Linked DNA regions of Sus scrofa. The protein of the gene in region 1 purifies or fractionates together with the protein of each later gene. This does not show direct contact. Links are inferred from orthologs where the notes say so. Each region holds a gene or a part of one and is shown on either strand. Other genes may lie near its edges. The genes, in order: MAPK4 and FASTKD5.

Region 1 (15,199 bases):
TGTTCACATCACCTAACTCTTGTTAAAGTCAAACCTAAGCAGAACAAACACTCCTTTTGATGGAGTTCCTGGTTTGTGCAGCTTTCTGCCATGCTTGAGTGATGGGGGACCAGGCCGTTTCCAAGTGATGTGACTGAGGCCCTAAAAGTCAAACTGCATAAAGCAATCCTTGCAATTCCCTGTCACAGTGCCTGGTATCCGCACCATTAACTACGCCTTTGGTTAAGGAACCTTCATCAAACATACCCATGTTATCTGGGAGGAGTTCTTCGCCTTCTTCATTGCACTCACGTTTGAGAACCTCAGCTGCAAGCATCAGCAAACACAAGAGTGTTTGCTTCCTGTCCACATATAAGCAACTCCAGGCCTTCAGATCAGTGGTGCTTAAAAGTTCAAAAACACCAGAATCACCTGGTGGGTTGTTAAACCACACCTTTCTGGGTCACACCCTGAGTTTCTGATTCAGTTGGCCTGAGATGGGACCGGAGAATATGTACCTCTCATGAGTTCCAAGTAAAGCTGATGCTGCTGGTCCAGGACCACACTTTGAGGACCACTGTACTAGCTGATTTCTACAGAATCTTCATGAGATAAGGAGGCAGAGTGTGAGAGCATTTGAGCATTCTGATCATGGATCATGAGGTAAGAAGTTCTGAAGTAGAAAGTGGTCTGGGCCTGAAGGCAGGCCAGCCTAGCACAAGACTTGCTCAAATGATCCACTAAAACATTTTCTATGGGCTTCTTCCTCTTGCTTTCTTTCCTGGGTATTTTCTTTTCTTCCTTTCATGGCCACACCTGTAGTATATGGAAGTTCCCAGGCCAGGGATTGAATAGGAGCTGCAGCTGAGGCCTATGCCACAACCACAGCCACAGCCACACCAGATCTGAGTCATATCTGATGCCTACGCCGCAGCTTGCGGCAATGCTGAGCAAGGCCAGGGATCAAACCCACATCTTTCTAGAGACCAGGGATCAAACCAGAATCCTCAGAGACAATGCCAGGTCCTTAACCCACTGAGCCATGACAGGAATTCCGCCAGGCTATTTCCTGCCTACTGCTGCCAGGAAAGGTAAGTCTGTTGGCAGCCGCAGTAAGAACAAGAGGTGGTTCCCTCTCCTGGCCCCTTCCTGGAGGGACGTGTCCACACAGCTAATCCGACTGTCAATGCTCTGCCCAGCCCTCTGCTCCCTCTTATGGGGGCTCCCAACATTTCTTGGAATTTACTTAGGACTTAGTGAAGTCTTTAAACAACATTTTTTTAAATCTCTTTTGAGATCATCTATTTCCTAATAGAATAAATTCAAAGGGAAACACTCTCGGATCCTTTGGCCGTCTCTTCTTGACACAAACACAAGGAACGAATTAGTGGGCTGCCGAGGAGGTGGGCAGAAAGTGGTTCACGACAGGAGGACAGGCTGGGCAGCCACCCTTGGGTAGGGCTTCATGACTCACCCTTTGGCCATCATGTCAGGAGATGGTTCCATATATTAGTGGAGGGGAAAATAGCATCTGGGTGTCTGCCTGGTGTCACCATGGAATCTACTGGGCAAGTAGTTCTGTTAGTGAATTAGCCCTTTGAACATCTGAAAGTCCTCACCTTTGTTTGACTCTAAAAAGAATCCTGTGAAATAAGAAGAATGGGAATGATGACCCATTTGGCAGAGAAGACAACTGAGAAGGGGTCGACATGTGTGCACTATACTCCTGGCTCAGCCCTGAGTGGGTCTCTTCCCCCTTCTAGGCCTCAGTTTTACCGTCTGTGAAATGGAAGGAATGGACAAGGTGATTGTGAGGTCTCCTTACAGGTTTTTTTTTTTTTTCTTTTCTTTTTCTGCTGCTTCTGTGGCATGTGGAAGTTCCCAGGCCAGAGCTGCGATTGAATCTAAGCCAGAGTTGTGATCTATGTCACAGCTGTAGCAACATTAGATCCTTAACCCACTGTGCCCGCCCAGGGATCAAACCAGTGCCTCCACAGAGACAAGCCAGATCATTAACCCACTGTGCCACAGCGGGAACTCCTCCTTACAGGTCTCTTATTCTGGGGATGCGCTACACAAGGAAAAGGATTTGCCTGAGGTCATGCAATTGATGACCCAGAGAAACTAGGAGCCTCCATGCCACCTCTGTTGAGTGAGAGCCATCAGGGCACCCCATTGCTACCCACCACCATCTCCAGCTGGGGCCTCTAGCTGCCCTCTGCCTTGCAAAGACCAAGACCCCTGGGAGGGTGTGGTAGGGGGACATGTGCCCAGAATGCTCGATGACTGTGACTTGAAGCTCCAGTGCTGCCAGCTGCTCATTGGAGAAGAGGAGGTCATTTCCTTTGGCACCTCCTTTCCCTGAGAAACACAATGGACACCTGCCCCATTCCAGGCCCTGTGCTAGAGCAGGGGATGTGGAGGTGAAAGAAGCTTGGAGTCCACCCATGAGAAGGTCATGATGAGGAGACTGAGCATCAGCTGCTGCCTCTGAGTCCATCCCCCAGTTGGCTCCCAAAGCCCGTCCCTGGTACTGGGCTGTAACCCACACAAAAGCACTGGCTGCAGCCCAGGTGAGCACCGTTTCTGCAAGGCAAGATCAGTACCCATAAAACTCTAGGAGGGGTCGAGTTTAGAGCTATTCACATGTAGGCATTGTCCTCTGAACACACCAGGGAGAGCAGATGCACATGGCTGACCCCAGCCAACCCATTGGCTGGAAGAATTCTATTCTCTCTTTCTGAGAGTTACACCTTCTAAGCACATGGAATCAGTGAGCCCACCCAGCATCCTAGCTGTTATGTGCTGGTCAATGACAGTTCTGCTGTATGTTCAAGACAGTCAACACAATCAACTGGGCCATGTCTCAGGCACAGGACTAAACTCCCTGGAGGAAACCAAGATGAACATGACACAGCCATCAAGAACCAAGGAGCCTTCAGCCTAAGAGAACATAAAAGAACCACTGGCACAAATACCATAAGACAGAGCAGAGAAGGGTGGATGCTAGAAGATCCAGGTTAGGGGGTGGAGAAATGTAAAGAAAGCAAAGACTCATTCCAGCTGGAGACCAGAAAGCCTTCATGAAGGAGATGGCTCGGGAAAAGATAATCCATCAAGACTCAAGAAGGACAAGTTCTCATGTCCCCTCTGCCACTGTCAGCCGAGTAATCTTGAGAAAGTCAGTTCTCTCCATTTTAATACGGACCATTTTCAGAGTTCCCAGCATGGCTCAGTGGTAACAAACCTGACTAGTACCCACGAGAATTCGGGTTTGATCCCTGGCCCAGCTCAGTGGGTGGAGGATCCGGTGTTGCTGTGAGCTGTAGTGTGGGTTGCAAATGTAGCTCAGATTCTGAGTTGCTATTGCTGTGTGATGTAGGCTGGCGGCTGCAGCTCCAGTTTAACCCCTAGCCTGGGACCCTCCATATGCCACAGGTGTGGCCCTAAAAAGCAATAAATAAAAATAAATAAATAAATAAATAAAGCAAAATGGACCATTTGCCTTATGTGCCTCACAGCATTATGAGAATTCAATGAGAACTGATTTAAATTCACATCAGATAAATAATGGCACCAAATATAAAGCTTTCGTCATCACTTGGGCAAGAGTAGGGAGGAAGCTAAAAGCAGAAAGTATGTGAGGGAGGAGGCAGGTGGGGGTGGGGGAGGCCTGCCAAATGCAGAGCTGATGTGAACACCTACTGGGCTTGTAATTGGCTCCAGTTATCTTTTTTTTTTTAAACTTCTCACAGCTAATTTTATTGACGAGAGCCCACAAAGAGTAAGTCACAGCATCTAAATTCCTCTGCCTCAGGAAAATCAAAGTCTCAACCAGAGATGGCTTCCCACCCCTGAGTGACAGTAGCACAGCCACCTATGGTGGTCAGTGAACCTGGGGTTCCTCTCCAGATCCCAGCACAGAGTCTGGGGCCTGGCGCGCTCAGCAAACACTCATTAGATGAAGGGGTAAGGTCTTTACTACTTTCCAAGGGGCTCTGCTATCATGCTCCACTTTTTTTTTTTTTTTTTTGGTCTTTTTGTCTTTTTAGGGCTGCACCCATGGCATGTGGAGAGTCCCAGGCTAGGGTTCTAATCGGAGTTGTTGTAGCTGCCAGCTACAGCCCCAGCCACAGACACACCAGATCCGAGCTGCTTCTGTGACCTATACCACAGCTCACGGCAATGCCAGATCCTTGACCCGCTGAGTGATGCCAGGGATCGAACCTGTATCCTCATGATTCCTAGTCAGATTCATTTCCACTGCACCACGATGAGAACTCCTCATGTTCCATTTTGTCAAGGATGGAGAAACGAGGCTTGGCTCTCGGAGGGCGACTGTCCATGTCCCAGGCAGCACCGTCAGAAGGGAGCCCAGGCCTCTGCCTCCTCACACAGCATCACCTCCTCACCTCACACACCTCCTAAGAATTGCTGCCACAGCCAATCTTTGCCCCAACAATCAGCTTCCCTGAGTTTCCCGAAGACCAGCCGCAGGCTGTTCTGAGCACGTTCCCTTCAATACTTCACTTCACCAGACCCTTCCTTCAAGGACAGTCCTATTGTTATTCCCACATGAACTGGTTTATTCCACTTCAGAAGGCGGTTTTGTGCATCCTGGAAATACAAATGTCATGGATTCTCTGGTCCTTTTACCAAATAAGAACAGTTTTGGGTTATAACCTTTGGTTCAATTGTTTGGAGTCATTGTTCCTTAGAAGAAAGAGAAAGAGCATGAGGAGTCAGGAAGACAGAAGGGCATTTCTTCTTTTCTTTTATCATTTTTTTTTTTTTTTTTGACCATGGACATTACTTTGCAGAGAATCGTCTGTCAGTTTTGACAGATGGCCTGGCAGCAGGAGGGGGCATAGAGGGCAAGCTCATGGCTAAGGCAGTACCGAGGAGCTGGAGCCAGCTGGGCTGATTCCGGGTCTGAAATCTGGGCTGGAGCCCAAGTTCTAGCCGGTGAGGGTGGGACATGGAGCCCTGCCCCCATCCCCATTCCCCAGACACCTTCCTGCCGAATCTGCCCTAGGCAGGTCAGCACCTTTCTCAGTGTCTGCGACCTTCTGGCTGCAGGAACACAGGATGGCAGGGGAGAGCAGAGGTATGAGGCCTCAGAAAGAAAGCTGAAGCATATGCAAGGTCAGAGCTATCCTCCCCTTTCTGGACATACCCCAGCCCCTCAGCTGGCAACAGTTTATGGTGTGCCTCCTTCCTGAGGACTGGATTCATTCTAGAAAAAAAACTCATCATATAAATGTTTGGGCCAGAGACTGGAAATCACAGGGAAGCCAAAGCTCTGTGGAGGGGGTGCCTGCCTGAGGTGCTCAGAGGATCCCCTGAAGTGGAAGGAGCTGGGAGAAGGGGAATAGAATTTCAGAGGACTCCCAGCTCCTGAAGGGTATAGTGGATTAGGTAAGAAGAGGTCTCAGAATGAGTGTCAGTGTCTTGACCAGTGTGGCTGTGTCAGCCCTGATCTCTGCAGCTGCTGGAGCATTGAGCCACCCACCATGGTGTGAGGGTGGAGGGGTCTCAGCACCATCCAGACACCCAGGGCTTTAGCATCACACAGTGGTGGGTGGGGCATCATGGGACCTGGGAGAGCTGAGCCATTAGCTGGATAGTGTACACCCAGAATTAGTTCATCAGATTAGCCAGTGGTGCCTCTATCCACAGACAGAATGAATGGAAAACAGAGCTGGGCAGCTTTGATGGGAAGAGGAGGCGAGATGAACTCAAGTGGTGGGAAGGCTCCCTGGGGCTCCTGTGCAGGGAGCAGGGAGAGGAGGTGGTTAGGTGGACAGCAGAGAGAAAAGGATGCTAGAGGCAAGTTCACCAACCACACGATTATGAAGGCACAGAGTTTAGTGCTGGATCCATTAATCCACCCCCCTCTTGTAGAGCCTTGAGTTATTGGTCACAGCCATGGCAGAGGCAAGACTAAGCACCAGAACTCCCTTCTCCCCCAACAGCTTTTCAGGCCAGTGATCTTTCTTGGGCCCTCCAGCTTCCCCAAGCACATACCCTGGTCCTCCAGTTCCACTGGAGTTAGGGATACCCTGAACATTCTTGAGGATTCCATTGACCACCTGCATCAGCAACCCAGCCAGACGTACCTTGTGTGAGTAATGCTGATCAACGATCCTTGCCAACCCAAAATCCCCGATCTTGAGCACGAGGTCTTCCGTGCTGATGAAGATGTTGGCGGGCTTCAGGTCCCTGTGCAGCACGTTGGCGGAGTGGATGTACTTGAGCCCTCGGAGCAGCTGGTACATGAACAGCTTGGCGTGCTCCTCTGTCAGGGTGCCCTGCTCCAGCAGGCGTGCCAGGTCAGTCTCCATGTACTCCTGGACGATGTAGGCCACGCTGAACTTGAACAGTTCACCCTGCAGGTCGGTGCCCTTGGGCCCCAGCACCTCGTACACCTTCACGATGTTGTCATGGTCTAGGCGCCGGATGATCTTGATCTCCCGGAGCGCGTGCTTCATGCTGCGGGTGTCACTCAGGGTGATCTTCTTCACAGCCACCTTCCGGCGGGCCCTGCTGTCCACGGCGGACAGTACCAGCCCATTGACGCCAAAGCCCAGGGGTTGCAAGTCAATGAAACGCCCACCAAGGTCATAACCATAGACACTGGCGATGCAGTCACCCTTTTCAGCCATTGTTGGCTTAGTGGTCAGGGGCTGCCCGTGGGATGAAAGGGCAGTCAGAAAAGGCCAAGTCCCAGCTAGTGGCTTCTCCAGCACACCTCATTCTGTCAAGTCCCAAGGCTGAGGGATGCTTTTTTTTCTAGTGATGTCACTGCCACCAGCTCTCTGGAGACAAGAGTGGCATAAGTCCATACTTGCTGAGCTGTACAAGTTGGAGGCTCAGACTGTTTCCTTAACCTGCACTGGGAAGGCTGTCCACCAATTCCTGAGCCTTCTTGGAAGCTTAGAATGGCTCATGATTCTTTCAAATATAGCATCTTGGAAGGAAAAAACCAGTTTTATTCACTATGTGAACATAAAGTTTCCTGTCATGATGGGCCACATAGTAAAGACGCAGCAACTCTCCCCTTAAAATCCTTTGTTAACAGAGGTTCCTTCTGGCTGAAATGCAGAGCTGCTGCTGAGCTGTGTTCCTCTACTTTCGGTGGTCCGAAGCTAGCTGTATGGCAGCCTCTGTCAGCTAGGGGGCTGCCCTCTGGGTCTGGAGCAATATGAAGAGATTCCAACAATGGATTGTAGAGGCTTCCAGGGATTTCTTTCTACCTCCGCCAGCTCTCCTTTCTACCAGTTCCTCTTAGATTCTGAAACCCAAACCAGTTTGTTGAGTGATGGTGAAGAAAACTGGAGAAATCCAAGCACCTTTCATGAGCTCTACACCCAGTTACACCTCAAGGCCCAAACCTGAGGGCAGCTCAGCTGGCCTGCCAGGATCCTCCAGAGGCTTCAGAAGTGGGCAGCATTCTCCGTCACACCCTCATTCATGCCACCTTGAATGACACTGTGTTCTGCTGGACCCAGAAAGCCTGCAGGAACTCGGCATCTTTCAGGCAGAGTCTCCTATCCTGCCAAAGAAACAATGTTGGGTAAATTTCCACACTTCGGCTTCCAACACCTTCCCACTTGTGCATGTCTTTTGTTAACCAGCCCAAGTGTTATTTGATCTGTCCAGCCAGCTGAAACACTGCTTGCTCAGGGGATTCCAGGCTTTGCACCGCCCAGCCACCCTCCTGCTGTGTGCAGCGTGCCCCTGGAAGAGAGAGAAGATGGACTGACATGCCTTTTATGTAAAAGCTTGCTCCCCAAAGGTTAACATGCAGAAACTGTGGGTGGCAACCTCTCTGCCCTTTGCAAAAATCATCCCTTATGCTCTCTAAATACACACATCAGAACTCACTAAGGAGCGTGAGAGTAAAAAGTGCTCTCTAAATACACACATCAGAACTCACTAAGGAGCGTGAGAGTAAAAAGTAACGCATTGCAGACAGAAAATAGAGGATCAGTAATTTTGTTTTTATACTCAGACCCCCTTTCTTCCTACTTCTGCAAACATCTTTGAAGATTTTGAGAGAATTTGCCAGGCACTGAGATTTAATTACTTTGTATCTCTTGCTTTCCATGGAGGTAGCATAAGCATACATACTGCATTACAAGGAAATTTTATTGCCACCCTGGAAAAGGGACTCTCTGTGAAGCAAACAAGGACACAGACTTCTTGGTGTGACAGTAGGACTAGCATGATAAACTGTATTGTTTTTGATGATGGGGATCTAGCTCTTCAAAGCAATAGGTCAAATTGTAGCCTAACCGCCCCCTGATGGCTGCTGACTTAAATTACAGGCATCAGAACTAAGTGGGGAGAAAAAAACAAAAACAAAAAAACGACTAAGCCCTGTAAATTCAGAACTCCTAAGAAAAGGTAATATCATAGCTTCTAAGAGAGTGCCAGACTTTTTAAGTTTATTAAGTTCACAGACACACAGAGAACAAACACTATATCCTGTGCAAAAGAGTGAATTTGCCAAGACTGCTTCTTAATTTTCATCATTCTGTACGGCCCCCTGTAGGGATACTTTCACATCTGAACTCTGGAATGATAAATGAAGCAAAACAGCAGTCAAATCCATGCTCTAAAACTAAGGGGGCAAGTTAGGGGACACAGATGATCTGAAATAGTAAATAATCGTGTGCTCTCTAAAGACTTCTAGTGAACAGAATTTAGCAAGAGTCTGGAACGTAGTAACAGATGTTACCTGCTGTTGCTATTGATGGAAATTCCCTTACATTGGAATAAGAGGTACCTACTGTTCTGATGTTTCATCAACCTTCAGCAATTCTTCTCTGCATGTTTTTATTGGGCTCAGTTACAAAATAATCAAAATTTCAGACTGAAAAGCAATCATAGCAAACAGTGGTCCTTAATTGGGGTGGTCCTGCCCTCCTTGGCTGCTCTGATAAGGAATCACTACAGACCTTTAACAGTCTGTAGGGCCAGAGTTGCTAACCATCCTGCAGAGCATTTCCAGTGAATAACTGACACCCCCCAACCCACCCAAATGCCAGCATATCCACTGAGAAACTACGGTTCTTGTCTGAGTTCTCACTTTGCAGATAAGGGTACTGAGGCTCAGAGAACACTAGCTCAGTGCTTCTAACATAGACAAGGTCAATAAACATTTGATGAATTGATGAAAGAATACCATTCATTCTAACAATTTCTAGTATATGGCCTGGGCTGGGGAAGTCCACCTGGACACCTAAGTCAGGGAAAAAAAAGAGCCCCCTGGAGACCCATACCATCCCTCCACCCACTCCTGATGCCCAAATCACGTCAGAGATAACTAAATTGGAGTGCCTTTCACTTTTTAAAAATAATTTGTTTATTTATCTATTTATTTATATTTGCTTTTTTTAGAGCCATACCCATGGCTTATGGATGTTCCCAGGCTAGAGCTACAGCTGTCAGCCTACACCACAGCCCATGCCAATGCCAGATCTCTGACTCACTGAGTGAGGCCAGGGATCAAACCTGCATTCTCCTGGACACCAGTTGGATTTGTTTCTGCTGTGCCACAACTGGAACTCCTCCTTTCACTTTATACCCATATGCCTGGCTTGGTTCCCAAGGGCACGGCAAACAGAGGCAACTATATATTTTGCTTGATGAGGGGAGATGCTGAAGCCTTCTCCCCTTTCTAGCTCCCATGGGCTGTAAACAGAGAGGGGGGATGAGCACCTAAGCAGGGAGATGAAATCGCCCACAAGTTGAAGGCAGGATTTGTTCCAGATGAGCTGCAATGCAGATAATCTGTGGATAATTAAGAGGAGCTCTACTTATTTTAAAAACTCTTCTTTCTCTCACTGGGGGAGGGACTGTGCGCTGTGTGTGTGTGTGTGTGTGTGTCTCAGTGGCCTGCCCAAAACACTGTCGGCAGTTACCTCAATCCTTTGGGAAGACCCAATTCTAGCCACTCCACTGTTCTCATGGCCCTAAATATACTCTCTGAATTCCTGTCTTGCTTCTTTGCTTCCATCTTCCCAGATCCTGACATGTTCTGCTTCCTTCCCACTTGCTGTTGAAATCCTGCCCATCATTCTGAATCCAGATGAAGTCTTACTTCCCCTCGGAAGGGTCCTCAGTGACATTCCTCCCTCTTCTGATATATTTGACATTGACCATATACTAATCTGGGCTGTTACTTAACTTTTTAGACATGTCCATCTCTCAACTAGACTTTAAGCTTCTCAAGCCCAGGATACAAAGTGGTGCTTAGAATGAAACCAGGGCTTGGAGTTACCTGAGGCCCACCTGTTATGTCTACAAAACTGCAATGTCCACTTTCCCCAGACAGTCAACCCCCTCTACCTCTCATCACTGCTTCAGTGCAATACATTCAACCCAACAAGGCTCTTCACATAACGAGCCCTGACCACTCAGACAAATCAGTATTTCTGAACTTCAGTGTCATTTTCTACTTAGATTCTGCCTCTTTTATTTTTATTTTTTCTTTTTAGGGCCTCACCTTCGGCATACGGAAGTTCCCAGGCTAGGGGTCGAATTGGAGCTGAAGCTGCCGGCCTACACTACAGTCATAGCAACACCAGATCTGAGCCACCTCCACCACCTACACTACAGCTTGTGGCAATGCCGGATCCTGAACCCACTGAGTGAGTCCAGGGATACTAGTCGGGTTCTTAATCTGCTGAGCTACAGCAGGAACTCCAGATGCTGCCTCTTTCTGTATTTCAACATGAACCAGACAGACTTCCACTCACCATTTCTCTTTTCCCACTTGAGTTGACAGTTACTCATCTCTTCTCATACTTCTTCATTTTCTAAAGTTTTCCCTATCATTCCTCTATAATTTCTACATAAACCCTTTGCCTTTCTCCATGGGTGGACTGATCATGAAATACCTATTACCTAAGAAGTCTCAGATTAGTGGTTCATTTCTTACATGGCAGACCCAGGGCCGTGGGCCTCTTGGCCCTAGAGAGGGGCATACCTGACATATCGAACTGCCCACCTGGGCAGAGGATTGAGGATGGCAGCTCTTGGTGTGATGTGACTTATCAGGGCAGAGTACAGTCATTCTCTACTTGGAGGTGATGGCTCAGAGTGGCTCTGAATCACAGGTGTGATTTTAAACCAGGGAACTTGCATGAGATATGCGAAGGTCATGAATTCAGCTGTGCTCAAATGACACACAAGTGAAAAGAGCGCATATAACTCTTCCAAGGGCAGTAAGGCTCCCACGACTCCATGCTGAACATTATAATAAAATATAGGAGTGGAGGGAGTTCCCTAGGCTCAGTGAGTTAAGGATCTGGTGTGGTCACTGCTCTGGTTCAGGTTTGATCCCTGGCCCAGGAACTTCTGCATGCTGCAGGCATGGCCAAAATAAAACAAAAACAAATAAACAAGAACCCCACAGAATTAGAAATCTTACCCCAGAAAACTAGCAATGGAGCCTACTCATTTCTCACTGACCTTCCATCCATCTCTTATTTGAGGCCAGTCAATTGACACATCCAGTCTTTTAATATGTGGAGGCAAATCAGCGATGAGATGCTCTCTGCCAATTGTCCCTTTCTGGGATTCCTGGGGCTCTGGTTTACAAGGCAGCTTTGGAAAGTCTAAATTTAGACTCACCTCCTCTGCCTGCTTTGATCCTCCCAAACCTCATGCTGGCGGCTTTCAGCAGGAACTGTGGCCTCCAGCGAGGTGCTGACATTACCCAGGCACTGCTTTCTTCCCTCTCCTGAGCACCCGAAAACTGGCAGGAAAACCTTCCCCCGCAGGGCTGATGTTTACAGCCAAACAGGCTGCACACTGCACCATTCCAGGTGTTACTAATCATATCATGGTCAAGTCTGTCTGACTCGAAGTTTCGTGGTGATCCTAATCACTATGAAGTGCCCTAGACCAAAGACTAGCAAGTTTTTCCTATAAAGAGCCAGAGAATAATTATCTTAGGCTTTGTAGGACATATAGTCTCTGTTGCAACCATTCAACACACAAGAGCAGCTACAAATAATACCCAAAGGAGGGGCACAGCTGCATTTCCATAGATCTTTATCTACAAAAAATAGGTGGGGGGCTGGATTTGGCTGGGGGTGAGCTGACGACCCCGGGTTTAGACTGTGTAGCAACACTCTCTAGCTGGTTCCCAAGGAGGCACTGAAGTGTGCGGTAACCAGGCCCCTTTCCAGCCGTTCTTGCACCGTCTCCTCCTGCAGGACTCACTTCCCTGGGGGGCCCCCTCCCAGTGGCACTATCCTGGGCCTGCCCTCCTGGGGAGCTGCCCTGGGCTCATGATCCCACCAAAGCTTAGCCCAGCTCATCTGTAGGTTTCATGCCCTCAGGAGTCAGCTTTCTGCCTTCCTGCTCTGCCTTTCTGTGGTGCTGTCCCTATGCCTTGCTCCCAGATCCCACATGCACTAGCAGAGGCTTCTGGGAATGTGGTGAAGATGACATGATGCAGATGAGGTAGGAATTCCCATTGTGGCTCAGTGGATTAAGGACCTGATGTCTCTGTGAGGATGCAGGTTGGATCCCTGGCCTTACTCAGTGGATTAAGGATCCAGCATGGCTGCAAGCTAAAGCATAGGAAGCACATGTAGCTCAGATCCAGTACTGCCATGGCTGTGGCTCAGACCTCAGCTGCAGTTCTGATTTGACCCTTAGCCTGGAACTTCTATATGCCACAGATGTGGCCGTGAAAAGAAAAGGAAAAAAAAAAAAAAAAAAAAAAAAGACGGGGTAACTACACTTATGGAGGGTTCATTCTCAACCAAGGGACAGATTAGCTGGGTCTCACAAAAACCCCATGATGTGGATCATTCTCCCATGATGCCCCCAGAGGGAAATAACTCACCCAAAGTCACACCACTAGCCGGTGATGAATCTGGCATATAAACACAGATCTGTCTGACTCTGAAGCCCATACTTCTCATCATCATCACACACTAGCTGAGCCCAAGTAAGGGATTCCCACCAAGAACCACCTAGGCCCAGTGTGACATCCCAGCCCAGTGAGGGATGAATCTTCCCCAATTAAAACACAAGGCAGCCACCTTTTCAGCCTGTGCTCAGCTCCAGTGTGGAGGCCATGGTGAACTAGCTCGCTTGGTGGAGAGATAATTTAAGAAAGAAAACATTAAAATGAGATTTAGAGGTGAGAAAAACCAAACCAATCCAAACTAAACAAACCAAAAAAACCCTAAAACAACCAGGGAGTTCCTGTCGTGGCTCAGTGGTAACGAACCTGACTGGTATCCAGGAAGACGTGAGTTCAATCCCTGACCTCACTCAGAGGGTTAAAGACCTGGCATTGCCATGAGCTATTTTGTAGGTCACAGATGCGGCTTGGATCTGGTGTGGCTGTGGCTGTGGCCAGCACTACTGCTCCAATTCGACCCCTCACTTGGGAGATTCCATATGCTGTGGGTTTGGCCCTAAAAAGCCAAAAACAAAAACCAATACAACCAAAAAACTGAAACCTCCACTAAGTGAAACAATAATAATCCTGCCTTCTATATAGTTCTTGACCTCTTTTCTAATGTTAAACTTCAGATGCTGGAGCCCCTGGCTGCAGGGCCAGGCCATCCCAGAGTAGAGCCGAGCTGAGCATCCTCCCAGCTGGTCCTGGAGCTGACACTGGCCACCTGCCCAGGAACCATTCCCCTTTTTCTCTCAAGGAAGAGAAATCAGGTCGGGAAGAGCCATTGAGCAGCTGAGCCCAACTCAGGGATGACTCATGGTTACCTTATGGGTCTAAACCATGGCTTATCAACCTGCACAGCATTGAAGTTTTGAGCCAGGTCATTCTTGGCTGCAGGGCTGTCCTGTGCCCTGTAGAATGTTTCACAGCATCTCTGGCCTCCACCCACAAGATGCCAGTAGCTCTGCCACGGTTGTGACAACCAAACCCCTGTAGGACAATAGAGAGGAAGACTCTTCTTCCCCCTACCAGCTGTCCTGGGAACTGTTTGCTTTCCTGTAATAAAGACTTTGCTTGATGAAATAGAAAAGATGAACAGACCAATCACAAGTAATGAAATTTAAACTGTGATTTAAAAACTTCCAACAAACAAAAGTCCAGGAACAGATGGCTTCACAGGCAAAGTCTATCAAACATTTAGAGAAGAGCTAACACCTATACTTCTGAAACTGTTCTGAAAAATTGCAGAGGAAGGAACACTTCCATACTCATTCTATGAGGCCACCCTGATACCAAAACCAGAGAAAGTGCTTTGGTGGTATAGTGGTGAGCATAGCTGCCTTCCAAAACCACACACACAAAAAAAAAAGAAAGAAAATTACAGGCCAATTTCACTGATGAACATAGATGCAAAAATCCTCAACAAAATACTAGCAAACTGAATCCAACAATACATTAAAAGGATTGTACATCATGATCAAGTGGGATTTATCCCAGGGATGCAAGTGTTCTTCAATATCTGCAAATCAATCAGTGTGATGCACCACATTAACAAACTGAAGAATAAAAACCATATGATCCTTTCAATAGACACAGAAAAAGCCTTTGACAAAATCCAACACCCATTTCTGATAAAAAAAAAAACCCTTCAGAAAGTGGGCATAGAGGGAACCTACCTCAACATAATAAAGGCCACATATGACAAACCTAGAGCTAACATCATCTTCAATGGTGAAAAGCTGAAAGAATTCCTGTTGAGATCAGGAATAAGACAAGGATGTCTGCTCTCACCACTACTCTTCAACATAGTTTTGGAAGTCCTAGCTGCAGCAATCAGAGAAGTAAAAGAAATAAAAGGAATCCAAATTGGAAAGGAAGAAGTAAAACTATCACTATTTGCAGATGACATGATACTATACCTAGAGAATCCTAAAGACTCTACCAGAAAACTGTTAGAGCTCATCCATGAATTTGGCAAAGTCACAGGATACAAAATTAATATACAGAAATTGACTGCATTTCTACATACTAACAATGAAAGAGCAGAAAGAGAAATTAGGAAGCAATCCCATTTACCATCGCATCCAAAAGAATAAAATACCTAGGAGTAAACCTACCTAAAGAGACAAATTATAAGACACTCTGAAAATTATAAGACACTGATGAAAGAAATCAAGGATGGCACAAATAGATGGAAAGACGTATACCTTGCTCTTGGATTGGAAGAGTCAATATTATCAAAATGACTATACTATCCAAGGCAATCTACAGATTCAATGCAATCCC
Region 2 (15,841 bases), on another chromosome or scaffold:
CTATCACTGTTTCCCCAGCCCCATTCCTTCACCTTGGGTGTTTGGGAACTCTTGTACCCACTGTGAGGAAGGGGACACCGAGGGACAGGTCTGTCTTGGATGGGGTGGTGGGAGTGGGGGTGGGGCTGACCTATCTCTGCTTTCCCACCTGTGTCCACAGTGCTCCCCTGGCTTAGTCATGGCGAAGCTGGAGACACTGCCTGTGCGCGCTGACCCAGGGCGGGATCCCCTCCTGGCCTTTGCCCCTCGGCCCTCTGAGCTCGGACCCCCAGACCCTCGCCTGGCCATGGGCAGTGTGGGCAGCGGGGTGGCCCACACCCAGGAGTTTGCCATGAAGAGTGTGGGCACCCGCACAGGGGGTGGGGGCAGCCAGGGCAGTTTTCCTGGCCCCCGTGGCAGTGGGGCCAGCAGGGAGAGGCCAGGCCGCTACCCCTCAGAGGACAAGGCTCTCGCCAATTCACTCTACCTCAATGGCGAGCTGCGGGGCAGTGACCACACGGATGTCTGCGGCAATGTGGTGGGCAGCAGTGGTGGCAGCAGCAGCAGCGGTGGCAGTGACAAGGCCCCACCTCAATATCGTGAGCCCAGCCACCCACCCAAACTCCTGCCCACCTCTGGCAAGCTAGACCAGGTCAGTCCCCAGGGCTTTTTTATGGGGGTGGGAGGCAACCCAGAGATGGGGAGGAAGTGGGTCTTCTTGGAGGTTGGGTTGTAGGGGCTGAGGTAGAAGCTGAGTTGAGGAGCCTTGGAGGCCAAGTCCACCTGCTGGGTCTAGGGCAGAGACCTGGCTGCTGGGATCAGGAGGGTGGATGTTGGGTAGAGACCCAGCCAGAAGGGACTCCCAGGATGGAGCTCCGATGGGGTAGGGGGGAGGTGGGGCTGAAGACATCTAGGCCAGAGGAAAAAGACTGGGGTCAAGGCCAAGGCCCCATCATGATTCCACATTCCCCCTCCCTTGCTTTTATGCAGTGCTCAGAGCCACTGGTTCGGCCTTCAGCCTTCAAGCCCGTTGTACCCAAGAACTTCCACTCCATGCAGAACTTGTGCCCCCCGCAGTCCAACGGGACCCCTGAGGGACGACAGGGCCCCGGTGGCCTCAAGGGTGGACTGGACAAGTCTCGGACCATGACCCCAGCGGGTGGGGGTGGGGGCGGCCTCTCAGATTCAGGCCGGAACTCACTCACAAGCCTGCCCACTTACAGCTCCAGCTACAGCCAGCACCTGGCGCCCCTCAGTGCCTCCACCAGCCACATCAATCGCATTGGCACTGCCAGCTATGGTAGTGGCAGTGGTGGCAGCAGCAGCGGTGGTGGGTCAGGCTACCAGGACCTAGCAACCTCTGACAGTGGGCGGGCCTCCAGCAAAAGCGGGTCATCCTCATCCATGGGGCGGCCAGGCCACTTGGGATCGGGGGAGGGTGGAGGTGGAGGCCTGCCGTTTGCGGCCTGCTCGCCACCCTCGCCCAGCACTCTGATCCAGGAGCTAGAGGAGCGGCTGTGGGAGAAGGAGCAGGAGGTGGCAGCTCTGCGGCGTAGCCTGGAGCAGAGCGAGGCAGCGGTGGCTCAGGTGCTGGAGGAGCGGCAGAAGGCCTGGGAGCGTGAGCTGGCTGAGCTGCGGCAGGGCTGCAGTGGGAAGCTGCAGCAGGTGGCCCGGCGCGCTCAGCGCGCCCAGCAAGGCCTACAGCTGCAGGTGCTGCGGCTGCAGCAGGACAAGAAGCAGCTGCAGGAGGAGGCAGCCCGGCTGATGCGCCAGCGGGAAGAGCTTGAGGACAAGGTGGCCGCCTGCCAGAAGGAACAGGCCGACTTCCTGCCCCGGATGGAGGAAACTAAGTGGGAGGTGCGGGCTGGGGGCTTGGGCTCTCCCTGTGTCCCCTTCCATCTCGCTGGAGAAACCCAGAACAGCAACCCACAACCATCACTGGGGAAGCGAAGGTTGTGGCGGGATTGATTAGGGGTGTCTGAAGACCAGCGCTGTCCAGGGCTGTGTGAAATTAGCCATGTCTGAGGAGGGGGTCTTCCTGCTCTGATGAGGAGCTGACCCTGAGCCCCGGGGTAGCTCAATGCCCTGGGGCTGGGGTGGGGGTGGGCAGAGCTCGGCCTTCACCCTGACTTCTCTTCTCACCCGCTCCTGCCCAGGTGTGCCAGAAGGCTGGGGAGATTTCCCTCCTGAAGCAGCAGCTGAAGGACTCGCAGGCCGACGTGTCCCAGAAGCTGAGTGAGATCGTAGGGCTGCGCTCCCAGTTGCGGGAGGGCCGGGCCTCGCTGCGGGAGAAGGAGGAGCAGCTGCTCAGCCTGAGGGACTCCTTCAGCAGCAAACAGGCCAGCCTGGAGCTGGGCGAGGGCGAGCTGCCCTCTGCCTGCCTCAAGCCGGCACTGACCCCAGTGGACCCCGCTGAGCCGCAGGATGCCCTGGCCACCTGCGAGAGTGACGAGGCCAAGATGCGCCGTCAGGCTGGGGTGGCTGCCGCCGCCTCCCTGGCTTCCTTGGATGGGGAGGTGGATGCTGGGGGGGAGAGTGGGACGCGGGCCCTGCGGCGGGAGGTGGGGCGGCTACAGGCTGAGCTCGCAGCCGAGCGGCGAGCCCGGGAGCGCCAGGGTGCCAGCTTCGCAGAGGAGCGCCGCGTGTGGCTGGAGGAGAAGGAGAAGGTCATCGAGTACCAGAAGCAGCTGCAGCTGAGTTACGTGGAGATGTACCAGCGCAACCAGCAGCTGGAGCGGCGGCTGCGAGAGCGCGGGGCCGCGGGAGGTGCCAGCACGCCTACACCCCAACACGGGGAGGAGAAGAAAGCCTGGACCCCCTCCCGCCTGGAGCGCATTGAGTCCACGGAAATCTGATCTCCCTGGGCATGTGGTCTTTTGACAAAAACCCTGTCAAAGGCCAGAGTCCCCAGTATCCCCTCCTTGCCATCACCTTCCCCCCCCATGTCCCCCTGTATCCCCAGACCAAAGAGGTTCTCAAAGCAGCTGTGACCAGGTCCCTCCCCTCCCCTCACTGGGTGCCTCCCAGCTCTACCACTGCCCCCCTGGGCAGCCCACTTGACCCTCCTCCCAAGGAGGAAATAGGGGGAGGGCTGAGTGTGTGGGGATGAAGGGCCCAGGCAGCAGGGGAGCCCGGGCTCCCTTTCTTGGCACTCCCTTGTTGAAGAGGTGGCAGGCCTGCAGTGCCGCCAGGTACCCAGCCCTTTGATGGTCTGGGCTGCTACTGCCGGCCCATCGTGTGTCTAGAGATGCGCTCTGTGCCCATCTCCTATGCCGTGTAGCCTGAGGGGGCCTGCCTGGGGTCTGCCGGAGCGGACAGACCTTGGGCTCCCGGCCTCTCTCCTTCCTGCGCAGTCTTCCCTCCTTGGCAGATTGGCAGGATGAGTGGGAGCAGATGGCCTGCCTGTGGTTGAGAGGGCTACCTGCCCAGCCCCTCCCCCCCCAAGGTCTCTTGGGCTCAGGCCTCAGAGCCTGGCCTGGTCCTGAGTGTGTGTCCATTTGTGCGTGTTGGAGGAGGGAAGGGCAGGGACTGGAGGCTCAGTGCCCAGGGAAGCTCTGCCCTCCTCTTCTTGGGAAGGGTCACCTGGAGGCTTCTTAGCTCTACCCTGCCCCTTCTGGCCAGGATCCCACAGGACAACAGTCCCATCTGCTTGGCTGACCCCATACCCCGGACCACTGTCCAGCTCTAACTACAGCTATTAAGTGCTACCTGCCTCTCAGGCACTCCCCTCACCCAGTTTCTGAGGTCATATGAGTGTCTGTGATGTCTTCCTGTGTCTTCCCCCACTTGATTCCCTCAGCCTCCTTCTGCTTTCATGCTCAGCCTCCTGCTTTCATGCTCTGAACATCGTTGTCCTAGGCCACCGCTTCCCCCAAACCTCACCTTTTCTTCCAGTAGAAAACTCTGCTTGATCTTTGGTGCACTGCCCACTTCCACACTCCACTGGGCCCAAGCCTGAGCCTGTGGCCCTTGTTTTGGGGGACAGGGGTGGCTATGATTGCTCTTGAAGAGCAAGGCTGAATGGAGAGGAACACTGACTCCTGGGTCCCAGGGGCCTGAGGTAGCCCGGGGTTTGCCCAGAGTAGGCCTGGCATAGCCGTCAGTGGGGGTGGGGGCAGCCAATGTCACTTCCTCCTCTCGGGGCCCTCTGAGAGTCTATCTCCCCAAGATAAGAAGGGAAAGGCAAATTTCTAACACACCAGCAATAAAAATCGGAGGAGGCTTGGCCCTCAGCCCTGGTATTTCTCTCTTTTCACTCTCTCCCTCCCACCCCCAAGACTGGGTTTGTGGGGCAGGGTGGAGGGAGCTGGCAACTACTGTGAGCAACCCCCGACCCCTGACCAGCCTCCTCCCATGACTGGTGACTGTTTAACCAGCTGTGCATCCCCCACAAAAACAGGAGTGCCCCTCTGCGTGGCCTCTGTCCTTCTGCACAGCCCCTTCCGGTGGCCCTCCCCAGATCTCTGAGCTGGGTGAGGGGCTGTCCTGGCAATCACTGCCCATTCCACTCACCCTTCACTACACCTGCCCCAGAACCTGGGCCTGGGCCAGAGGGGCAGGGGGAAGAGAAGGCATTAGTAGGAAAAAAAAAAAAAAATAGAAAAAAAAATATGAACAGACTCAGCTTTGGGACTTCCAACCACAAAAGAAATTATATATAAATATATAAAAATATATATCTCTACCATATGTGATGGAAAGACTTCGTTTTCTTTTCCCAAAGAAATAAAATGGAGAAAGCCTCTTGAGTGGCTTTTTTTTTTTTTTTTTTTTTGGCTTGCTTGTGCCTTTGCTGGTGTGAAGGTGAGGCTGGGTGAGGGAGGTGTGGAGGGCAAAGCTGGAGTAAACATTTTCCAGAGGAGGCATGAGACTGGAGGTGCTTACTGGGCCGTGCCTGGAGGTTGGCCCAAAGCCCAAGCTCCTCCCTGTGGCTAGGAGGAGTAGTGGTTCCACGTTCCTGCCTGACAGGGCTTTCTCTTCAGGTCTGCCTGTCGCCAAAAGGGTCTCCAACTAGTTCCTGCTCAGAATCTGTTGGGAGTTCCCCTCGCGGTTCAGTGGAAACGAGTCCGACTAGGAACCATGAGGTTGCTGGTTCAATCCCTGGCCTCACTCAGCAGGTTAAGGATCCCGCGTTGCCTTGAGCTGTGGTGTAGGTGCAGACGCGGCTCAGATCTTGTGTTGCTGTGGCTGTGGTGTAGGCCAGCAGCTGCAGCTCCCCTTAGGCCCCTAGCCTGGGAATCTCCATATGCTGCAAGTATGGCCTAAAAAGGCCAAAAAAAAAAAAATACATATATATATATAAAACTGGATACCAGGCTGTTGGCCAGAAGGCAGGGGAGGCTACAGAACCAGATGCAGCCTGCAGCATCCTGAGCCACCCTACAGTGATGAGCTGAAGTCTGAGGGCAGAACACAGACGTGAAATGTTTGTAATTAGCAGTAAGAACCAATTTGTAATTAGTGGTGAGGCCCCAAAGGCAGAAGGGACCCAAGTGTGCTTCAAGGAGGGAGCAGATTTTTATGATCATTCCTTTGCTCATCCTCATGAAGCTCCCCAAGCAAGAATGTACTCTGCTACAAGTAATGCAGCCTGAGTTACAGGACCTCAAAGAGTGGTTTATTCATCCTCACCTGATAAAAAGTCTGAACATAGGCATCAATAGTGTCACAGGGCTTGGTTCATTAAGGACCTAGACTTCTTGCCTTCCTACACTATCTGTGGCACATTGTTCCCTCTTTACCACAAGGCGGCAGCCACAGCTCTGTGAAGTGAATGAGGCAGCAGCACTGTATCATGAAAGTAAAACCTTTCCCAGAAGTTCCACAGCACCGTTCCCTTTAAATTTTGTGGGCTAGAGCTGAGTCATAGGCTCTTCCCACTTCAAGGGAGGCTGGGAAATTGAGTATTTGGCAAAGACGATCAGGATTGTTATGGCTGCCTAGGAGCAATTACGGTTCATCTCATCTCCTGGGCGCTCTGGGTTCTGACGGCAAGGACAGAGTCATAAATCGGCAACTCCCAGTGTTTGCCCTGGTCTGGCCCAAGTGAGAGAACCCTCTCCAAGCAGCGGTGTCCCAAACAGTGTCCTCCACAGAGCTTAGGTATTGAGATGCCAAGCTTGCCCCTCCTTGCAAGGAAGTGTCCTTCCTACAATTGATTTTGTCTCCCCATCAAGATGGTTCCCTGGAGGAAGCACCATTTCTCAGGTTCCCTCAGGATGGGCGGACCAGCAGCCAAGGCACAGACAAGGTGTGACCACCCTGATCAGCAGTCTCCAGTGCGCCTAGGAACGGCTGTCTGGGGTCAAGTCCTCCTGGAAAGTCTCGAGTGTCTCTTCCTTGCCTAGCTGTCCATACCCACTCAGGAGGAAAGAAGGCCCCCGCCCCCGCCCCCGCCTTCTTGGGGAGGTGGAAGATCACCTGGGTTCATCTGTCAAAGCTCTGGCCTCCTTATTCAGCTCCTCACATCCATTTCCCCTAACAGGGTAATCTTCTATCCATCACTAACTCTCCTCCTGAGAGCACTTTGTAGATACATCTCTATTATAAATGCATGATTACCTCATTATACAGATGAGAAACTTGGCTTAGAGGATTTACGTGACTTCCCCAAAGCCATAAAACTCTCAGTAGCGATCTGAGATTCGAACCTGTGTTTAGGCTATTCGGTAACTTCCAGAGCGGTCCATCCACGGTGGTGTTTCCTCTCCTCAGGTCTTGGATTCCCCTTGTCTCTTCAGCAACGTCCTTCCGCAGAATCTCTGGGAGACGCTAGGGAACGTCCCTGGGAAACGCTGAAAGAGTTTTGAGCCTTGGCCGCACCCGTCGCTCACGTAGCGGCCGGAAGTAGCGGGCATTTGGCCGGAAGTGGAGCTGTGAGGCCCAGGTGTAGCCGAAGAAGTGGCCGCGGAGCCGCCGTCTGCGGGAGTGGGGTCTGGTGTTGCAGCGCCGGCGCTTGCCAGGCTCAGGTGAGTGGCGGCGGCCGGGGAGGAGGTCGTAGCGGCGCTCTCTGCCGACGTGGGCCTTGGCCAGCGCCTCTCGGCACCGGGCGTGCGCGGAGGCCGGGCGCGGTGCTTCCCGGCCCAGGCTGTCGCAGGCCCGGCTTTAGGGAGAACATCGGCGACCCGGAGTCCTGTGACCTTGCCCAAACGTCTTACCAGAACCTCGATTTTTTTTCCCGCTATGAGACGGAGGTAATGGCAGTACTCGCCCCCCTGGTCTGTTGTGAGAATGTAGTGAGATGCTCAGCGGCTCCTCTTACTATACTTCATATGCATGCGCATCACCTGGGGATCTGAAGATTTTGATTTTGTATGTAAATCTGAGATGAGGCCTGCGATTCTGCGTTTCTCACCAGCTTCCAGGTGAGGCTGAGGCCACTGCTCCGCAGCCCGCGCTTTGAGCAGCAAAGGCCCCGCGATATTCGCTTAGTACCTGCGACAGGTTGAGTCTTAAATAAATATCAATACAGTGTATGCACTTAAACCCATTTTTTAACAGTTTCTGATTGCACAAGCCTAAGGGTGGTATTTTTAGCCCTCTTCCTTTTTTTCTTTCTAGGGATAAGAAAAACAACTGTCTTTTCTCCTTCCATACAAATCATGACACAGCTCTTCTGTCCTGACTCATGGAGCTTGGGGCCCTCTTCATACCAGTTATGTTCATGGGCTTCCTCAGGTGATGCTTCACTGCCCACTCACTTGGACTGTGGAGCTGGAGCCCAGCGCTTTAGCACCAGCATGGCTAATGTTTTGTGTTTTAGTAATTTGCTGCTGGAATCTGAACTCATGTTTTCTGCACTTTGCTCACACTTTGTGAATGATAAGAACAGTCACTTTTCCAGAACGAGGTTCTGTGACTCCCTAATGTGAATGGCCTTGGGCAAGCCTGAGATGAAGCTGCTGCCTGGGAGACCAAAATGAAAATCAGAGACTCTGTGCTGCATAATATATCTGAGGCCTTTGGCAGTTATGCAGATTTAATTTATTTGTCAGTGTGGCTTTCTGCCCCATTCATTGGTTTATTTTTTCTGGTCCCCAACAAGGCTCTGCCATTCATCATGCATATAAGTCAGCTTTGATACCAAGGAATTCTGAATACTATGTGGCCTTGCAAATCTAGGAAAGCAGATACAACCAAATGTTTGGTTATGCTAACAGTGATAGATATTTGGACTGTTAATTTGGAATTTTTTTCACATGATTCTGGGTGCAGATACTTTACCTGTCTGGATTTTGTCAGTCTTCTCATAGTCCCATTTAGATGGGCTGAGAGGACATGAGTGTCTGCTCTCTACCGTTGTACCCAGAAATTTCTAAAAGTAGCGTTTTTTGTTTTATGGCTTCACCTGAAGCATATGGAAGTTCCCAGTCCAGGGACTGAATCCGACCTATGCCACAGCTGGGGCAATGAACCCACTGTGCCAGGCCAGGGATCAAACCCATACTCAGCAGCAGCCCAGGCAGCCGAAGTCAGATTCTTAACCTACTGTGCCACAGCGGAACTCCTACAGATAAGAGTTTTATGAAACCTTTTACGAGCAGTGGCTCTGGAGTTCCCTCTCTGGCGCACTGGGACACAGGTTCCATCCCAGGCCCAGCATAGTGGGTTAAAGTATCTGGTGTTACTGCAGCTATGGCGGAGGTTGCAGCCGTGGCTCAGATCTGATCCCTGGCCTGGGAATTCCATATGCCATGGGGGAGGGGCGGGGGTGGCAAAAAAAAAATAGCAGTGGTTCTAACAGGTTCATCTGTGGGGTCTTCTGAGACTATATCAACCCAGGTCCTTGCCATTCTGATAGAGGGATAGCAGAGTCTTAGAAGGAGTGGGCTATGTAAGCTTAAAAAACAAACAAAAAACCCCACAGATGATTGTAATGTACTCGTTTCTCTCCCCTAAGTGTGGAAACTGGAACGGAAATGGAGAGGATCAGCAGTTAGACTTGATTTTGGTTTGGCTTAGTTGTGTGGGGGGTACTTTCCTTGACCTAAACACCTTTGCACTAGTGCTTTACCTCCCTAGTTGCAGCCGACCCCTCTTTTGTAGGTTGTGCTTAACAGAAGCACAGAAGAGAAGAGTCTAGCCCAGTTAGCATCCTCATTAACAGATGAGGCCCCCCCAGTGTCAGTCTCTAATCCTTCACTGGGGGCTTTAAAGCTTTGTAGCCCCTGGTTACAAAGTTCCTTAACTTTGTAGGAAGTTAGTTTTTTTGCCTTTTTTTTTTTAATTATTGGGGCTGCTCAACACATTCTTTGCTAAGATAGAAATGGAGTTTGAAGCATCCATTTGTTTGTGGCAATTTTATTGGGATTTATCAGTGGGTTAAATTTTTTTTAGCAAAGGAATCAAACCAGAATTAAGGGATGATCTCCAGTAATTGTTAATTGAATATGCTGAGGGTGTCATATACTTTATCTCTAGTTAGTTTGGCTGCCTTCCTCCACCTGGTTCCCCTCTCCTACCTTCTGGACTGTAGTTTAAAATGAAGCTACTCAGCCTTGCTCAGACCTGTACCTGGAAGGTAGGAAGGTAAGATTCCTCACTCTTGTGAAATCACATCATTCAGGGTGGTTTGGGCAGTACCCTTCTAAATAGCCATGGTCCAGTGGTCTCTGAGGCTCCATTCTTGTTCTTTAGGACCCCTAAAGAGGGGATGGGAAGAAGGTATACTTGGGGCACTTAAAATAGGAAAACGGTTTTGTGAGAGGATAACACACCGCTTTGAACCTTTAGAAAAGGCATCAGGAGTTACTGATTTGGCCTCTCATAATGGTCTCTTTTCAGCTTTGTTATGGATTCTCTGGGAGTCCTTAAGTAAGGAGGTACCAACTCTCCTTACCCTCCTGTGTTTTTTCTCCATCTTGACAGCACATCCTCACCTCCCATCATTTGCCATGCATTTTCTCCCCACTCTTTTGCTTTACTGGTTCTCTGTCTTCCTTGAGTTTCTTCCCTTTCCTTCTCCATAGTACTCAATACCTAACTTCTTTTTTTGTTGTTTGCTTTAATTTTATGATCGCACCCACAGCATAGGGAAGTTCTCAGGCTAGGGATTGAATCTAAGTCACAGTTGTGACCCACACCACAACTGTGGCAAGGCTGGATTCCTTTAACCCTGTGCTGGACAGGGGATTGGAACCACACCTCCACAAGGACCCGAGTCACTGCAGTCAGTTTCTTAACCCAGTGGGCCACTGTGGGAGCTCCTTAAGACCTAACTTCTGAAGTGGTTATATCTCATATCTGTAAATGTAGGTATGGTGTCTGTACAGTTATCTTAAAAGTTGTGTGGTGAAAAAGGGAGTAGCTACCTTTTGCCATTTGCATTTTCTGAATGGCTCTAAGATTATTTATTTTATCATTGTTTCTCTTACTGGGCATCCATGAAGAAGTTCTACTGGCAGTAGGAAGTACTTGCACTAGAAATAACCTTTCAGCATTTTCCTTGAGAACTTAAATTGCATTTTTTATTCATGAATTGTCTTTTTTTTTTTTTTTTTTGGTCTTTTGTCTTTTTAGGGCCGCATGCTCAGCATATGGAGGTTCCCAGGCTAGGGGTCCAATCTAAGCTACAGCTGCCGGCCTACATCACAGCCACAGCAACAGCAATGCCAGATCTGAGTGGCATCTTCGACCTACACCACAGCTCACGGCAATGCCAGATCCTTAGTCCATTGATCAAGGCCGGGGATCAAACCCGAAACCTCCTGTTTCCTAGTTGGATTTGTTTCCTCTGTGCCGCAATGGGAACTCCACTAATTGTCTTCTTGAAGAATACTTAAATTTCCTGTTAGAACATGCATTTTGTAAGTTCATTTTTTCAAAGTTATACATGTACATGGTTCACATAATTAAATAATTTAACAGATCTTATGACACTCAATATTAGTTCCCTTTTTTTTTTTTTTTTTTTTGTCTTTTGTCCTTTTTTACGGCCGTACCCACGGCATATGGAGGTTCCCAGGCTAGGAGAGTCTAATTGGAGCTGTAGCTGCTGGCCTACGCCAGAGCCACAGCATCGCCAGATCTGAGCCGCATCTGTGACCCACACTGCAGCTCACGGCAATGCCAGATCCTTAATCCACTGAGCAAGGCCAGGGATCAAACCCGCAACCTTGTGGTTCCTAGTCGGATTCATTTCTGCTGCACCACGACCGGAACTCCTTTTGTTCCTTACTTTTCAACTATTTGTCTGTTTCTTTTGGTATTCATTGCTGTATTTTATTTTTGTTATTTAAAAAAATTCCGGGGGCGAGTTCTCATTGTGGCTCAGCAGGTTAAGAACCCAACATAGTGTTGGTGAGGATGCAGGTTCGATCCCGGTCCCTGCTCAGTGGGTTAAGGATCTGGTGTTGCCACAAGCTGTGTCTTCGACCTACACCATAGCTCACGGCAATGCCGGATCCTTAACCTACTGAGCGAGGCCAGGGATCAAACCTGCAACCTCATGGTTCCTAGTCGGATTTGTTAACCACTGAGCCACAACAGGAACTCCCAAGGTCTCAGTTCTAAGACCAGGAATTGAACCTGGGCTGCAACAGTGAAAGCACCAAGTCCTAACCACTAGACCACCAGGAACTCCTTTCATTGGTGTATTTCTTTTTTTCTGTTTTGCTACAGCTGAAGCATGTGGCAGTTCCTCAGCCAGGGATCAAACCCTTGTCTCAGCAGTGACCCGAGCTGCTGCATTGACAATACCAGATCGTTAATCTGCTGCACAACAGGGGAACTCCTAAATACTATATTTGTGTGACTATTTCTTGATTTTTTTTTTTTTTTTTTTGGCTTTTTAGGGCCTCACCTGGTGCATGTGGAGATTCCCAGGCTAGGGGTCAAATCAGAGCTATAGCACCAGCCTACACCAGAGCCACAGCAACACCAGATCTGAGCCACGTCTGTGACCTGTACCACAGCCTACGGCAATGCTAGATCCTTAACCCACTGAGGGAGGCCAGGGATCAAGCCTGCATGCCCAGGGATACTAGTCAGATTTGTTTCCACTGAGTCACGATGGGAACTCCTATGTTGCTATTGTTTTCTAGGATATATCTGTGTCTGTAAACTCTTTGACTTCTTTCTTGTGGACTTCAATGCTCCAGGTCTCTTATATCAGTGCCTGATCCCCCTTCTCCATTCCCCTCCCCTCATCCTCCCAATATAGTTTGCTCATGATTTTTGGTTAGGCAGGTATTCAAGGTTTATACTAGTAAGATTATGTAAGCTGAGCAGGGAGTACAATATGATAACATTTTCTGTCTTGACAAATTTTTTGTTTTCCCTGGAGTTAATACTTTTTTAAAAATTTATATTATTTTATTTTATCTTTGCTTTTTAGGGCCACACTTATGGCATATGGAAGTTCCTAGGCTTGGGGTCAAATTGGAGCTACAGCTGCCAGCCAATGCCACAGCCACAGCAACACAGGATCCGAGCTGCACCTGCGACCTACACCACAGCTCTCAGCAACGCCAGATCCTTAACCCACTGAGCAAGTCCAAGGATCGAACTTGGATCCTCATGGATACTAATTGGATTCATTTCCGCTGCTCCACAATGGGAACTCCCCTTGAAGTTAATACTTTTTGTTACTGATGTTATTGGTTTGGTTATCCATCTGTCTATTAATTGGTCATCCTCAGATTACCCATCACAATTGTAAATCTTCTCTCCTAGGTAATACCCATCCCCTTCACCATAAACCAGTTGCTTTTTATGTCTGCTCATTGCAGTCATCCTGGGATCTCCCATTATTGTTATCCTGGGATTTCCCTTTAGTTCTTTTCTGTGTTGAACTCTAAATTCTGGATCACATATCTTTCCTGCCAGCCTTGATGTCTTCAGTTGTAATAGTTCTCTCTCTTTTCTTTTCTTTTTTTTTTTTTTTTTTTTTTTTTTGCCTTTTTGTCTTTTTAGGGCCACACCTATGGCTGTGGAGGTTCCTAGGCTAGGGGTCTAATTGGAGCTGCAGCTGCTGGCCTACGCCACAGCCACAGCAATGCAGCATTCAAGCTGTGTCTTCGACCTACACATTGCTCATGGCAATGCTGGATCCTTAACCCACTGAGCGAGGCCAGGGCTTGAGCCCGAAACCTCATGGTTCTTAGTCGGATTCATTTCCGCTGTGCCACAATGGGAACCCCTGTGATAGTTTTCTTTTCCTTAATACTGGGGTATCTCTTGTAAACTCAGTTCCTTCATGTAGATTTTGGTCTTTGAGGTCTTCTCTTCATTCTTTTTCTAAGTAGTATATACTCAGCATAGTGATAGCTAGGATCCTAGAGTATTCGAGGTATGAGGACCTTTTGAGCTCTCCTAGTTCTAACCCTCCAACTTCCTGACACCTGGAAACCCTATAGATGATTTGGAGTCCTCCCCACTCCCCTTCCTGGAACCTGACTCCCCTTCTTGTCTCTACACTAGCAGCGTGGGTTTCAGAACCAGATAATCTTTGACGTCAAACCCCATTCTGTGCCTTGGTTGTGTAATCTTCATCGAAGTCTCTTTTTCCTCATCAACAACATCAAGATAATAAAATCTACCTTACAAAAAGTTGTAAGGATTTGAATTGATGCAGATTAAACAGGTCATTCAAAAGAGTTCCTGTTGTGGCTCAGTAGGTTATGAACCCGAATAGCATCCATGAGGATGAGGGTTCAATCCCTGGGTTAAGAATGTGGCGTTGCTGTGACCTGTGTTGAAGGTTACAGACACAGCTTGGGTCCCATGTTGCTGTGGCATAGGATGGCAGCTGCAGCTCCAATTAGACCCGTAGCCTGGGAATTTCCGTGTGCCACAAGTGTGGCCCTAAAAGGCCAAAAAAATGAAAAATCCTGCTCATTCAAGGCTTAGCATGGAGGAGACTCTAAGACAATTTTGGCTGTAATTATTTCCATCTTAGGACTTAGTCTGTGTTTTTGCAAATCAGAAAGTGTCACATTAACTCAAACTTCTAGATCTATACCATTGATGTTCCGGGAAATGGTTCTTTTGTTCAAGACCATATTCAGTAATCTCATTAAGTACCCTTAGGTAGCATCAATCGAAGTAATTTATTTAATGTGCTTTTCAAGTTATATTATTTATAAAGGCGTTTGTTAAAATAATCCACGCACTCTCTGTTTAACAATTTTAACCCCAATTAAAAAGAGAAAAAAGTTAATTTCTGAAAGATATGAAGAAAGCCTCCCAAAAAGAAGCCGAATAGTCACTTTCCTTTTATATTAGTGTATTTTAAATGATGGCACTTGTATTCTGTTTGTTCCACTGAATATTTGTATGTACTTTTCCATGTGTTGTTACTTGACACACATTTATTCTGTAAACACCTTCCTCCTTCTGGATGAACATTTGGGTTTTCAGTTTTTTTGCTATAGTAGGAAAAAAAATTATGTCTTTTTTTAAAAGTTATTTCTTCCGATCTTGTTCCTAAGATGAGATGAAGCACTTTGAACAATTGCTTTACTTGCACATTGTGTTGAACTAACTTTAGATTCCAGCTCCAAAGCAAGTATTCTTTTTAAGTTTTATGGAAGTGTAATTGATTTACAGTCTTGTATTAATTTCTGCTGTGCAGCAAAATGATTCAGTTATATATGTATTCTTTTCTGTTATTTATCACAGGATATTGATTATAGTTCCCTGTGCTATCCAGTAGGACCTTATTTTTAGCCATCCTACATATAATAGTTTGTATCTGCTTATCCCAAACTCCCAATTCCCCACCACCTCCATCCCCCTCCTCCTTGGCAGCCACAGTCTGCCAAAGCAGATATTCTTTTTTTTTTTTTTTTTTTTTTTTAAAGGGCCTCACTCTTGGCATATGGAAGTTCCCAGGCTAGGGGTCAAATTGGAGCTGCAGCTGCGAGCTTGCACCACAGCCACAGCAACGTGGGATCTGAGCAATGTCTGCAACCTACACCACAGCTCATGACAATGCCTGATCCTTAACCCACTGAGCAGGGCCAGGGATTGAACCCATGTCATCATGGATACTAGTCGGGTTCATTACTGCTGAGCCACGACAGAAACTCCAGGCTTTGGCGTTTCTTAAGTTGGGGGGAAGACGTAAGCACTGAGGGAAAGCAAGGGTACACCAGAGTCATTTTCATAGCTTCTCATGGTTTCTACTATGGGAGAAAAATGGGACTTGTGCTGTTCACAGGCAGGATAATCAGTGCCTGACTCACTGGAAGCATTGCTCATCTGCCTTCTTCAAAGGAAAGCCGTGCTGTTTCCCTTGTTTGTCAGCAGGGCAATTGCATGAATTGGTGCTCTCTGAGCCCAGCATTTTTGTTTTTGTCTTTCTGTCTTTTTTAGGGCTACACATGCAGCATATGGAGGTTTTCAGACTAGGGGTCCAGTCGGAGCTGTAGCTGCCAGCCTATGCCAGGGCCATAGCAACTCGGGATCCGAGCTGTGTCTCCAACCTCACACCACAGCTCACAGCAACACTGGATCCTTAACCCACTGAGTGAGGCCTGGGATTGAACCTGCGTCCTCATGGATGCCAGTCAGGTTCGTTAACCGCTGAGCCACGATGGGAACTCCTGAGCCCAGCTTTGAGATGCTCTCTGCTTCCTACTCATGAACTGACAATGAGCAGAACCTAGGCCTTCTGCCCTCTCCCCCACGAAAGTGAGTGAGTTTACTTCCCAAGTGCATGACTACTCTGCTATGGTGATTCAGACTCACAGGCCTGGAGAGGAGAAAATGCATCTTCTAAAAGATATAGGAGCAGCATTAGAACAACAGAATTGGTAATCAGAAGTTTTGTACTTGAAGGGGGAGGGTTAGTGTCGGTATAATTAATTAATCTTTACACCAAATCACACTTTTTACTTTTGTTGTTACTATGGCAGCTTTT

The links.
Region 2: the proteins of MAPK4 (region 1) and FASTKD5 purify together in Homo sapiens (affinity purification with mass spectrometry; 3 studies listed by BioGRID and IntAct, with this or other methods). This does not show direct contact. The link is inferred for Sus scrofa from reciprocal best matches to the Homo sapiens genes MAPK4 and FASTKD5.

Annotation. Positions count from the first base shown.
Region 1 is NC_010443.5:100,211,351-100,226,549, reverse strand, and holds part of MAPK4 (mitogen-activated protein kinase 4), read right to left. Parts: intron 7,535-15,199; 5' UTR 6,645-7,534; coding exon 6,099-6,644; intron 1-6,098. UniProt on the Homo sapiens protein: Atypical MAPK protein. Phosphorylates microtubule-associated protein 2 (MAP2) and MAPKAPK5.
Region 2 is NC_010459.5:32,513,800-32,529,640, forward strand, and holds the start of FASTKD5 (FAST kinase domain-containing protein 5, mitochondrial), read left to right. Parts: upstream 1-6,825; 5' UTR 6,826-6,947; intron 6,948-6,966; exon of another isoform or gene 6,967-7,172; intron 7,173-7,539; exon of another isoform or gene 7,540-7,656; intron 7,657-9,399; exon of another isoform or gene 9,400-9,507; intron 9,508-15,841. Other genes in the region: LZTS3 (leucine zipper putative tumor suppressor 3), read left to right, coding at 179-631, 970-1,836, 2,136-2,834. UniProt on the Homo sapiens protein: Plays an important role in the processing of non-canonical mitochondrial mRNA precursors.